Linked DNA regions of Danio rerio. The protein of the gene in region 2 purifies or fractionates together with the protein of the main gene of each other region. This does not show direct contact. Links are inferred from orthologs where the notes say so. Each region holds a gene or a part of one and is shown on either strand. Other genes may lie near its edges.

Region 1 (5,387 bases), on a different chromosome or scaffold from region 2:
AGTAGTGTGTGTTAGTGTGTGTTTTCTGATCAGTAGTGTGTGTTTTCTGATCAGTAGTGTGTGTTTTCTGATCAGTAGTGTGTGTTAGTGTGTGTTTTCTGATCAGTAGTGTGTGTTATAGTGTGTTTTCTGATCAGTAGTGTGTGTTAGTGTGTGTTTTCTGATCAGTAGTGTGTGTTAGTGTGTGTTTTCTGATCAGTAGTGTGTGTTAGTGTGTGTTTTCTGATCAGTAGTGTGTGTTTTCTGATCAGTAGTGTGTGTTTTCTGATCAGTAGTGTGTGTTAGTGTGTGTTTTCTGATCAGTAGTGTGTGCTGGCTTGACCTGTCCTAATACACCAGACACTGTGTTTAAACACTCGTCCGCTTCACAAGTGTGTTTCTATAACTCTTATTTTCCCTGCTGCCTGTGCTGTTGAGTGTGTGTGTGTGTGTGTGTGTGTGTGTGTGTGTGTGTGTGTGTGTGTGTAGCTGTAGGTCAGACCTGCGCACGAGTCCCAGCGACACTTTAAAGAGCAGCCCGTCGCCTCCGAACACACCCATCCCGTTGGCTCTCCCGCAGCTGTCGATACACACCAGCTCCGGCTCCATGTCCTTGTTGGCGATGGTGAACTGCCCGAACACCAGATCTCCAACCTGGAGGAGCAAACAGCAGCGTTAGGAGGACTCATACACACCGAACACGACTTTGCTGGGTTGTTTTCCTCCACTCTGGGTTGATGTCGAGTCTTCATTTGTCCTCTTTCTCTGTGTTTCAGTAAATGTGATGATTTCTGCTGAATAATCTGAGTCTGACACACATTATGGGGAAATGCTGTGAGAGTTTTCATAACTCATCAACACACTGTTCACACTGTGTGTGTGTGTGTGTGTGTGTGTGTGTGTGTGTGTGTGTTCACACTGACTCTGCTTGGTTATGTTGTCTGTTGTTGCTCCATTCACTTCCATTATAATCACAGTTATTGACGGTGAAGCCCTGACAGCAGATCATCCTGCATTACTGACTGCTGCTGCTTCCCTGTGGGTCGATCTGTCATTTCACTGTTGATCATGAGTTGTTGCTGCTGGAGTGGCTCTGTCATCATGTACCTGCACGTTGGGTCTGTTCCTCTTGGTGGCTCCTTCAAAGGCCAGGTAGGACAGAGACGCCTGCTCACTTCCTCCAACGTCCACTTTGAAGACGTCTCCAGACTTTGCGGTCACGATGCCGATCACACTCTCACCCTTAGCTGGAACATACTGCAGGAAAGAGCAGAGGTCAGTCCGGAACACCTTCAGCACAGATAGAGGAGCACCACGACACATCCTGACCTGTGCAGTGTTAAAAAGGGCCAGTTCACCCAAACATGAACACTCTGTCATTTATTCACCCTTTACTTGTTCCAGACCCGTTCAGAACACTAATAAGATATTTAGAAAAATGCTGGAAACCTGGAGCCATTGTCTTCCATTTGTTTTTCCTACTATGGAAGTCAATGGTTACCGGTTTTCTGCATTCTTCAAAGTATCTTCTCTTGTGTTTGACAAAAAAAGAAACATGTAAAGGTTTAAAAATACGCTGAGAAAGGGAGTAAATATTCATTCTTGAGTGAACTGACCCTTTAAGATGACTAAAATAAATGATTTATATAGACCAAACGTAGTATACAGCTCTCTATCTCTCTCTCTCTCTCTCTCTCTCTCTCTCTCACTCATATATATATATATTTATTTAGTAGGGTTGGGCGATGTCAACCAATTTGGCAGTAGTGTGTGTTATTGTGTGTTTTCTGCCTAGTAGTGTGTGTGTTAGGTTGGGTTTTCTGCCTAGTGGTGTGTTTTTTTTTTTCCAGTAGTGTGTGTGATTGCGTGTTTTGCCTAGTAGTGTGTTCTAGGTTGTGTTTTCTGCCCAGTAGTGTGTGTTATTGTTTGTTTTCTGCCCAGTAGTGTGTGTTAGAGTGTGTTTTCTGCCCAGTATTGTGTTAACGTGTGTTTTCTGCCCAGTAATGTGTGTGTTCTGCCCAGTATTGTGTGTTATTGTGTGTTTTCTGCCCAGTAATGTGTGTTTTCTGCCCAGTAGTGTGTGTTATTGAGTGTTTTCTGCCCAGTAATGTGTGTTTTCTGCCCAGTAGTGTGTGTTATTGAGTGTTTTCTGCCCAGTAGTGTGTGTTATTGTGTGTTCTGCCCAGTAGTGTGTGTTAGGTTGTGTGTTCTGCCTAGTAGCGTGTGTTATTGTGTGTTTTCTGCCCAGTAGTGTGTGTTACTGTGTGTTCTGCCCAGTAGTGTGTGTTACTGTGTGTTCTGCCCAGTAGTGTGTGTTATTGAGTGTTTTCTGCCCAGTATTGTGTGTTATTGAGTGTTTTCTGCCCAGTAGTGTGTGTTATTGTGTGTTCTGTCCAGTAGTGTGTGTTAGGTTGTGTGTTATGGCTAGTAGTGTGTGTTAGGTTGTGTGTTCTGCCTAGTAGTGTGTGTTATTGTGTGTTTTCTGCCCAGTAGTGTGTGTTATTGTGTGTTCTGTCCAGTAGTGTGTGTTAGGTTGTGTGTTATGGCTAGTAGTGTGTGTTAGGTTGTGTGTTCTGCCTAGTAGTGTGTGTTATTGTGTGTTTTCTGCCCAGTAGTGTGTGGTATTGTGTGTTCTGGCTAGTAGTGTGTGTTAGGTTGTGTGTTATGGCTAGTAGCGTGTGTTATTGTGTGTTTTCTGCCCTGTAGTGTGTGTTAGTGAATTTTCTGAACAATAGTGTGTGCTGGCACATGTTGTGTGTGTGTGTGTTCTGACCCGTCTCTGCTGACAGTTGACCCAGTACATGTTGGGTTGTTTGTGTTTCAGGACTCCTGCTCTACACACACGGATCTCCGCTCCGCTCCGCCGCAGCCCCGGGCCGCAGATCAGCCTGTCCGCTTTCGGGTTCGCGTCTCCGGCTTCAGGAGGACTGAAGGAGAACAGCAGATCGCCTGGAAGAACCACATCTCCTATCCTCTCCAGCAGACTAGTGTGCACTGAGGAGTCCATGATGGAGGAGCGGAAAACACACACAAACACACGTGTCTGAGCACTTCCGGCACGGGGACTCTTATCCTATACAAATTAACTCATTAAAACCTCTCCAACCCTTTATGTCCACAACAGAAATATATTATAAAGATTTTTCTAAAAGCATTCTTAATATCATTCGACACCGGTAACCATCGACATCCATTATAAGAAAATAAATTCTATTGAAGTCAACAGTTAACGTTACTGGTTTCCAACGCTTAAATAACTTGTGTTCAACTGAGACATGGAATTAAACCGGTTTGGGACATGTAACGTTAACGGTTGAGTAAGTGATGGCAGGATTTATTTTAAGGAGATCTACCCCATTTATTAATATTTAGTCTTTGATTGTTTTTAAAAACGAAATATAATTAAATCGTAAAAACAATCAATAAATCAAAAACTGGATAAAGAGAGGGAGAACGTGCTAACATTCCAGCTAACACAAATCTTCCCCTTTAATTTAGGTTATTTTTGGGACTAATTAAACTAAAACTATAACTAAAATAACTTTAACTAAATAGGAACGTTCTGGTAACCAAAACTGTTGGCCAAGTTACTGGACTATACCGAAAAATGCATATTTTTTACCAGTTAAGTTAAATAATTCATACTGGAAATAAAAGTCACGATGTTTCAGAAGTTTGAAAACCGCTGAGCGGGAAATGGGGACTTTTGTGGCATTTCCGTTATGGCGGAGCACACAGAGGCAGAAGGCATCGGCCTGGCTGCAAACAGGTGCAGTTTTCGCTTTATTTTTCCCTCTCAGATAAACACAGACCCCCGGTTATCATTCGCCTTAGTTTATCCCGAAACTCCTCTGGGCTTCGTCTCCAATAAGGCAGATTTGAGTGGGTTTTAGCCTCGTCTGGCCCGTCGGAGGGTGGACAATGAAAGCAGCACAGCAGCAGTCGCCTCACTGTGTTTATATCGCAGTTTCCGCCGAGAATAAGAGCTTGAGGACACACACCGAGTCTCAGAAATAACCCTGTCAGTGTGTAGAGGGTGTGATGTGGCTGTGAGATCAGCTGGACAGTGTGTTTATGATGGAGTCAGTGCTTCAGATTCAGGTGTACTGTAATGAACACCTTCAGCAATGCAGGAGTCAGTGCAGACACTCCTCCATCATCAGTATCTGGGGTTAAAGTGTGTGTTCTGCTCGTCTTCAGCGTGTTTATGGTGTGTGTGTATCTGTTATTAACAGTGTTGGGGAGAGTTTCTCTCGAAAGTAACGGATTACAGTGTCGCGTTACGGTGTTTTAATGCAGGTGATGTGCTGTGAAAAGGCTGGAACTTTGCTTTTGGCTGAAAATGAGTTGTTGACGCTTTTGGGATATGCAGGATTTCCTTCAACACATGGACATGTTCCTTGAGCCACTTGTGTTTTTTTTAATTGTCACATTGCCAGTTTCCTAACAACAATTATTTGATTTAAGTAATTTTTCCTCAGTGCTACAGTAGAGCTGCACATGATGCTATGATATGACTCGCTGCCTGTCATGTTTATGGTGATATGTATCAGGCATGGGCTGGTATTAGTTTCTGACCGTATGATAACCTTGGACATAAATATCACGGTTTCACAGTATCATGTTATTGTGCTCACTGCTCTGAAATATTTACTTTTTAAATCTCTGGTTAAAAAACTAAACTTTTTTTTCCTTTTTTAATATATATATTCTATTTTGGGAAACATTTAAAATATTTTAGAGCAGTAAACATGTCAGGCTAAATCATTTTAATGAATCATTCACTTCTGCAGTCTTTGTTTTTTTATAAACACTAATATTTTTCCAGTTTAAAACAGAATCTTTGATTATATTTTCTGCTGGAGATACTGCTGTCCTTAAAAACAAAACAAAAATTAATAAAAAAAAAAAAGAAATCTTATTTATACCTTAGGAACGGGATAGCGGAAAATTTTCATGGTTTTAAAACCTTGACTTTCCCAAACCATGGTATACCTTGAGTCGTCCCATGCCAAATATATATATATATATATATATATATATATATATATATATATATATATATATATATATATATATATATACATATATATATATATATATATATATATATATATATATATATATATATATATATATATATATATATATATATATATATACGAGCAATTCCGTGCAAATGTCAACCTTGCCATGAAGAAAATTAAGTTTTCCTCAAAATACCGAAACCGTTTTTTTTTTTTTTTTTGGACAAGTATTTTACAGTACAAACTAATCTATTTGATTTAGCAAAGTCATACAAGTGGCAACTTCACATTTGTCACATCCATAATGACACTTTTTTTCTCTTAAATGTGAAAATATTAAATAAATAAAATCAATCATGTTTATTCTACAGTGAGCGACTC
Region 2 (5,387 bases):
ATCAAACTAAGACAAGATTGAATATCTTGCTTTAAAGTGATTTATCCCTGAATGGGAGGGCTTTTACTGTCCAAAGCAGAATTTCTGTCTGTGTCTAGCTCTAGACATGCCATCCAATGTACAAAGAATTAGATCAAATACTATTTAATTTATTTTTTGTTTATTTATTTTTTTAATGGAGGAATAGACACCACTATTAAAAAAGGGGAAATTCTGTGTAAACAAAAATGCAATGCTGGGTTATCTGTGCTAAGTTTTGAAACTTCAAACAATGCATCCAAAATAAATTGGTGGATTAAATTCATGAAAGAAAAGGACAGTATGCATGCGGTTTACTTTTCCAGAACACATATTTGACGTAATGGGGGTGTAAAATTTATGTTGAGATTTCTGGTGAAATTAGCTACATTTCACAAACAAGCTTTATTGGCCTGGATGCTGGAATTTAATTTCCCCCCCAAAGCAAGTATATTATTTAGAATAAATTGAAAGTTTATATGAATAGATAAATATGTAAATAAATCTATGAAATCCTGCATAAATAAAACAACAAATAAATAAATACGCAAATAAATAAATAAATAAATTCCTGCAGAAATCAAACAACGAATAAATAAATTCCCAAATAAATAAATTCCTGCAAAAATAAAAAAAATGAATAAATACCCAAATAAAACAAACAAACAAACAAATAAATATATAAATAAATCCCTATATATATAAAAAATGAATAAATAAGTATCCAAACAAATGAATGAATAAATAAATAAATAAATAAATCCCTATGTATATAAAACAATAAATGAATAAATACCGAAATAAATATTTATATAAATAAGTAGATATGTAAATTCCTGCATGAATTAAACAATGAATAAATAAATACTCAGATAAATAAATAAATAAATAAATAAATAAATAAATAAATAAATAAATAAATAAATAAATAAATTCCTTCATAGATAAGACAATGAATAAATAAATAAATAAATCTCAAACAAATAAATAAATATATACACATATTCCTGCAATAATAAATACATAAATGATTAATTGTTTGGGCAGATAAAACAGCTTTCAGTTTAGCATTTACCATTTACTTATTCCCCCTAACATGAATTTAATTATTTATCTGCCCACACTATTAATTCTTTAAATATGTATATAGGCAGGAATTTGTGGATTTATATATAAAATAATAATAAAAATATATATTAATAATATATTTGTGTGTGTGTGTGTGTGTGTGTGTGTGTGTGTGTGTGTGTGTGTGTGTGTGTGTGTGTGTGTGTGTGTGTGTGTGTGTGTGTGTGTGTGTGTGTGTGTGTGTGTGTGTGTATTATTATTATATTTTTGGTGTCGTCCTCTATACCCGCCCCTCATTGATTGATCGTTAGAAACAAAAATGTTGGATTTTTTTTTTCATTAGAATGGTGACCATTGGGAAAAGTAAATACACAACTGTTAAAGAAATAAATAAACATTTGAAAGGGCAGAAAAATAAACTTTCAGTTCAGCGTTTTCTTATTCCCCCAAAATTCGTATTTTATTTAATTAATTACCTGCCCGCCCCACACTAATTGTTGATATATGAATTTGTGAATTTTATACATTTATTTATTTGCATATTTATTTATTTAAAGTTTTATTTCTTTACAGCGCTGCACGGTGGTGCAGTGTAGCACGATCGCCTCACAGCAAGAAGGTCGCTGGTTCGAGCTTCGACTCGTTCAGTTGGCGTTTCTGTGTGGAGTTTGCATGTTCTCCCCGTGTTCACGTGGGTTTCCTCAGCTAAATTGTCCGAAATGTATGAGTGTAAATGAGTGAGTATATGGATGTTTCCCAGTGATGGGTAGCAGCTGGAAGGGCATCCGCTGCGTAAAACATTCTGCTGTGGCGACCCCAGATTAATTAAGAGACTAGGCCAAAAAAAGAAAATTATTTATGCTGGAATTTAGGGATTATTTACTCATTTATTTATATATTTGCGGATTTATTTATTAAATCATTGTTTTTGTTTTGAACTTGGTGTAAAAATAGCTAACTGCGTGTTAAATCCCCTATTTTATGGCACTTAGAAACATAAAAAGCTAGTGTAAGAAAATTAGTGCATTTAACAGAGTGCTTCAGGCGACATTAATTAACATAAAGGCAGGCTACGTTTAATTAGATTTAATTATCAGTTTGTAATTAATAAACTGCACTTTAAAGAAAATATTTTGTGAACAGTGGTATTATACATGTTTGGTCTAATGTGTCGTTGCAGTTTCGCAATTCTTACCAGCAGATGTCGCCAAGCTTATAGTGTTTTGAACGACAGTATATTCAGTGTATTCATTGTGTCCTTCAGGTGGCGATATCAGCTGTCATGGTCGTCCACACACGCTTTGCCAAAGAAGAAAAAGATTTTCTCGTGCGGCTGCACTTTCGCGATTTAATGTTTTCAACATGGCGGCCTCCTCGAGCAGCGCTGCCGTGGCCAAACAGAGCGACCATTCTCCATCAGCAGAGGAAACAGAGGCAGAAACTGAGTTTTGTCCGGGCTTTAAAGACGTCGACACATTTGTCAAGGTTTGTAGTTTGTTTGAATGTGTGTCAGCGCTGTCATTATCTGTGAATACACCGCAGCGTGGAGAGATTGAGAGAGACATGTGTGGACACGGAGTGTTTTTCGATCATTAAATGCACGTATGTTGTCGTGTAATGATTGTAGTTGCTGAAGCAGGTTTGTTTTTGTGTGTGTTCAGCATGGTCTTGGAGCGGTGGTGTCCGCCACCAAAGCCTCTGCTGCTCTTCCATCAGCGGGAGATGAGTTTGATCTGTACCGCAGTTTCTCCTCCTTCCAGCAGTTCTGCGCCTCACAAGGAGACCGACTCTTACACTGGTAAAACACTCAATAAACAAATACCGAAAGACTCATTATAAACACTGAATTGTTTACAAACACTGAAACACCATTTACAAGCACATTGTGGGCAAAATAAACATTGGAACATTACGCACTCGTGATAAACATGCTGCTGCAGGTTGAGGTAAAGTTGCTTTTATATTTGCACATCGCACTTTCTCCGTAATAATATATCTTCAGAAAAGTATTTCTTGTAAATTCTTAATAGGGGAAATCATATTAGTAGCCAAAGAATATTAAAGTACAACATCGTCCACAGTCAATTAAATGTTTCTAATGTTGTTTTGAAGTCATACTTGCATGTGATTTCAGAGCGAATATTGAAAGTACCATGTTAAAACATATAGGGAACGTGTCACAAGTGTTCAAAAATGAATGAATGTGCAAGCATAAAATCAAATTTACCTTGATGCTTTATAACATCTAATAGATGCTTCAAAGAATGTCGTTAACACTATGACACCATAATCAGAGATAGCCAGCAAATAATGCTTTTTGTAAGTGAACATTTGTTTGATTTATTACGATTAAAAAAAAAACATGAACATGCATGCATTGTATAATACCATGTATATCATACTACTAGCCAATTACTAAATATTCAATAAAATAAACCTACTATTTTTTTTCATAATTAACGTTTTTTTATATAAATATTGTAAAATGTATTGTATTTTTAATGTTTACAGATGCCATTAAGATTACTCAAGTAGTTATGATATGTATAAATGATAAGAATTAGTAAAAGATGAACAGAGAAATGCAGTAAGCTAATAATAGTAATAATAATAATAATACAAAGGTGATGATGATGACTATTATTGGTGTTAGAATATTAATTTCCACACTAGTAAAATAAATACTACAGCAATGGTAATATTATTTTACAAGTGATCTTAGGGCCTTTTGTACAAACATCATGTAAACGTGTTTTGACAGTAAATTCTAAACATGCATGCATTAATAGTTACAGTTTTGATAAGAAAATAATTTAATTACATAAAGCTTTTGGTAAAATGTAAAACTGCTATTAAAATATACTAGAATTTTACTGAATGGAAACTACTACTAGTTATAATATTTAATATTATTACTATTAGTATTATATATGAACTTAGGAGTTCTTGGACAGTGGACAATATATAGTTTGAGCGTTGATATTACAATGTGTGTATCCACAATAGATACAGCAGCATCTGAATAAATTATTAAAGATTAAGATATTATTATTAAATATATTTTTGTTTATTATATTTATTAGAATTTTTAAATCATTTTTATAATGATGACGATGTTATTTTATGTTTGATTGTTAAATTTCTATACCTGAATAAGAAAACCTTTAAGCACTATTCACCTTTTCTCTTTGCTCTGCTGTATTTATATATGCTTGTAATTTATTATGATTTATGCAAACGCACTGGACAGAAACAGACTTGATCATCTCAATCTATCTAAATGAATGAAATCTTTCCAAATCTAGCTATTCTATTCATCTGGTAAAATTATATTCATTGATAGTATATATGAATAGTAAATATTGCAAAAAAAAAAAAAAAAAAAAAAAATTCTATATATATTGCAATGTCAGATTTTTCCAATATTGTGCAGCCCTACTACTAGGTATTCTTAAATATATATGCCACAGCATACTGCATAAAGCTTATCATGTCAGTGTCAGTAAAGTTTACTTCACTGGAGACTGACAAAGCAATTTTCTTTTTTTTCTTTTTCTTTTTTTTTTCCTGACAGTATGAGCCAGATAATGCAGCACCATGGCTGTAGATCCCACATGAGAGACCGGAACAAACTGACTGGACTGGAGGACCGCTTTGACCTGGTGGTGGACGCAAATGATGCCATCCTGGAGAAAGTGGTACGAGTCTCTCACTGACACGCACACATCGCTGAAGTTCTGGTTCAGTGCTTCCTGTTGGCATGTCTGTTAATGCTGAGAATGAGAAGGTTTATTCCAGACACTGAAAGTCAGGGAATGCTCATATATTTTTGTTAATCTCCTGGAATATCAGTGATTATTGTGTTATTGCTTTAAATTTTAGTTTCCATTCAGCAAAATGCAACTTTTCTGTACCATATTCACATCTATAGTTACTCTCATCAACTCCCAGTCATTTAACTAAGGCTAACATGTTGGGACAATATACATTGTAAGAGATTTGGTTTCAAATGACAACTTCAAAAACTTTGTCAGAAGTAGACCTCAGGAATTTGTTAGGCTATCATATGTGGGAGAGAGAGCAAATTTGTTTTAATATTTGAATTATACTAAATTATTGATTGTTCTTATAATGCCTGTTAAAACTTAAAATGATATTCAGATTAAAATAATTCTTAAATTATTTTCTTATCTATCCATGTATTTATCTATAAATCGTTTTTATAGGAACCCTGCTGTTGTGTTTACATTTGAAATTAGTGATGCTCATATCAGGATTTTTGCAGCTGATACTCAGTACTG

The links. Proteins that work in one complex are often made in the same cells at the same time.
Region 1: the proteins of exosc10 (region 2) and exosc3 purify together in Homo sapiens (affinity purification with mass spectrometry; 8 studies listed by BioGRID and IntAct, counting the BioPlex papers as one, with this or other methods). This does not show direct contact. The link is inferred for Danio rerio from reciprocal best matches to the Homo sapiens genes EXOSC10 and EXOSC3.

Annotation. Positions count from the first base shown.
Region 1 is NC_133189.1:58,544,962-58,550,348, forward strand, and holds the start of exosc3 (exosome complex component RRP40), read right to left. Parts: upstream 2,998-5,387; 5' UTR 2,987-2,997; coding exon of another isoform or gene 2,753-2,986; 5' UTR 2,241-2,752; intron 2,046-2,240; 5' UTR 1,360-2,045; coding exon 1,087-1,359; intron 634-1,086; coding exon 482-633; intron 1-481. Other genes in the region: tcerg1a (transcription elongation regulator 1a), read left to right, coding at 3,702-3,748. UniProt on the Homo sapiens protein: Non-catalytic component of the RNA exosome complex which has 3'->5' exoribonuclease activity and participates in a multitude of cellular RNA processing and degradation events.
Region 2 is NC_133198.1:16,311,314-16,316,700, forward strand, and holds the start of exosc10 (exosome complex component 10), read left to right. Parts: upstream 1-2,386; 5' UTR 2,387-2,448; coding exon 2,449-2,571; intron 2,572-2,747; coding exon 2,748-2,884; intron 2,885-4,660; coding exon 4,661-4,784; intron 4,785-5,387. UniProt on the Homo sapiens protein: Catalytic component of the RNA exosome complex which has 3'->5' exoribonuclease activity and participates in a multitude of cellular RNA processing and degradation events.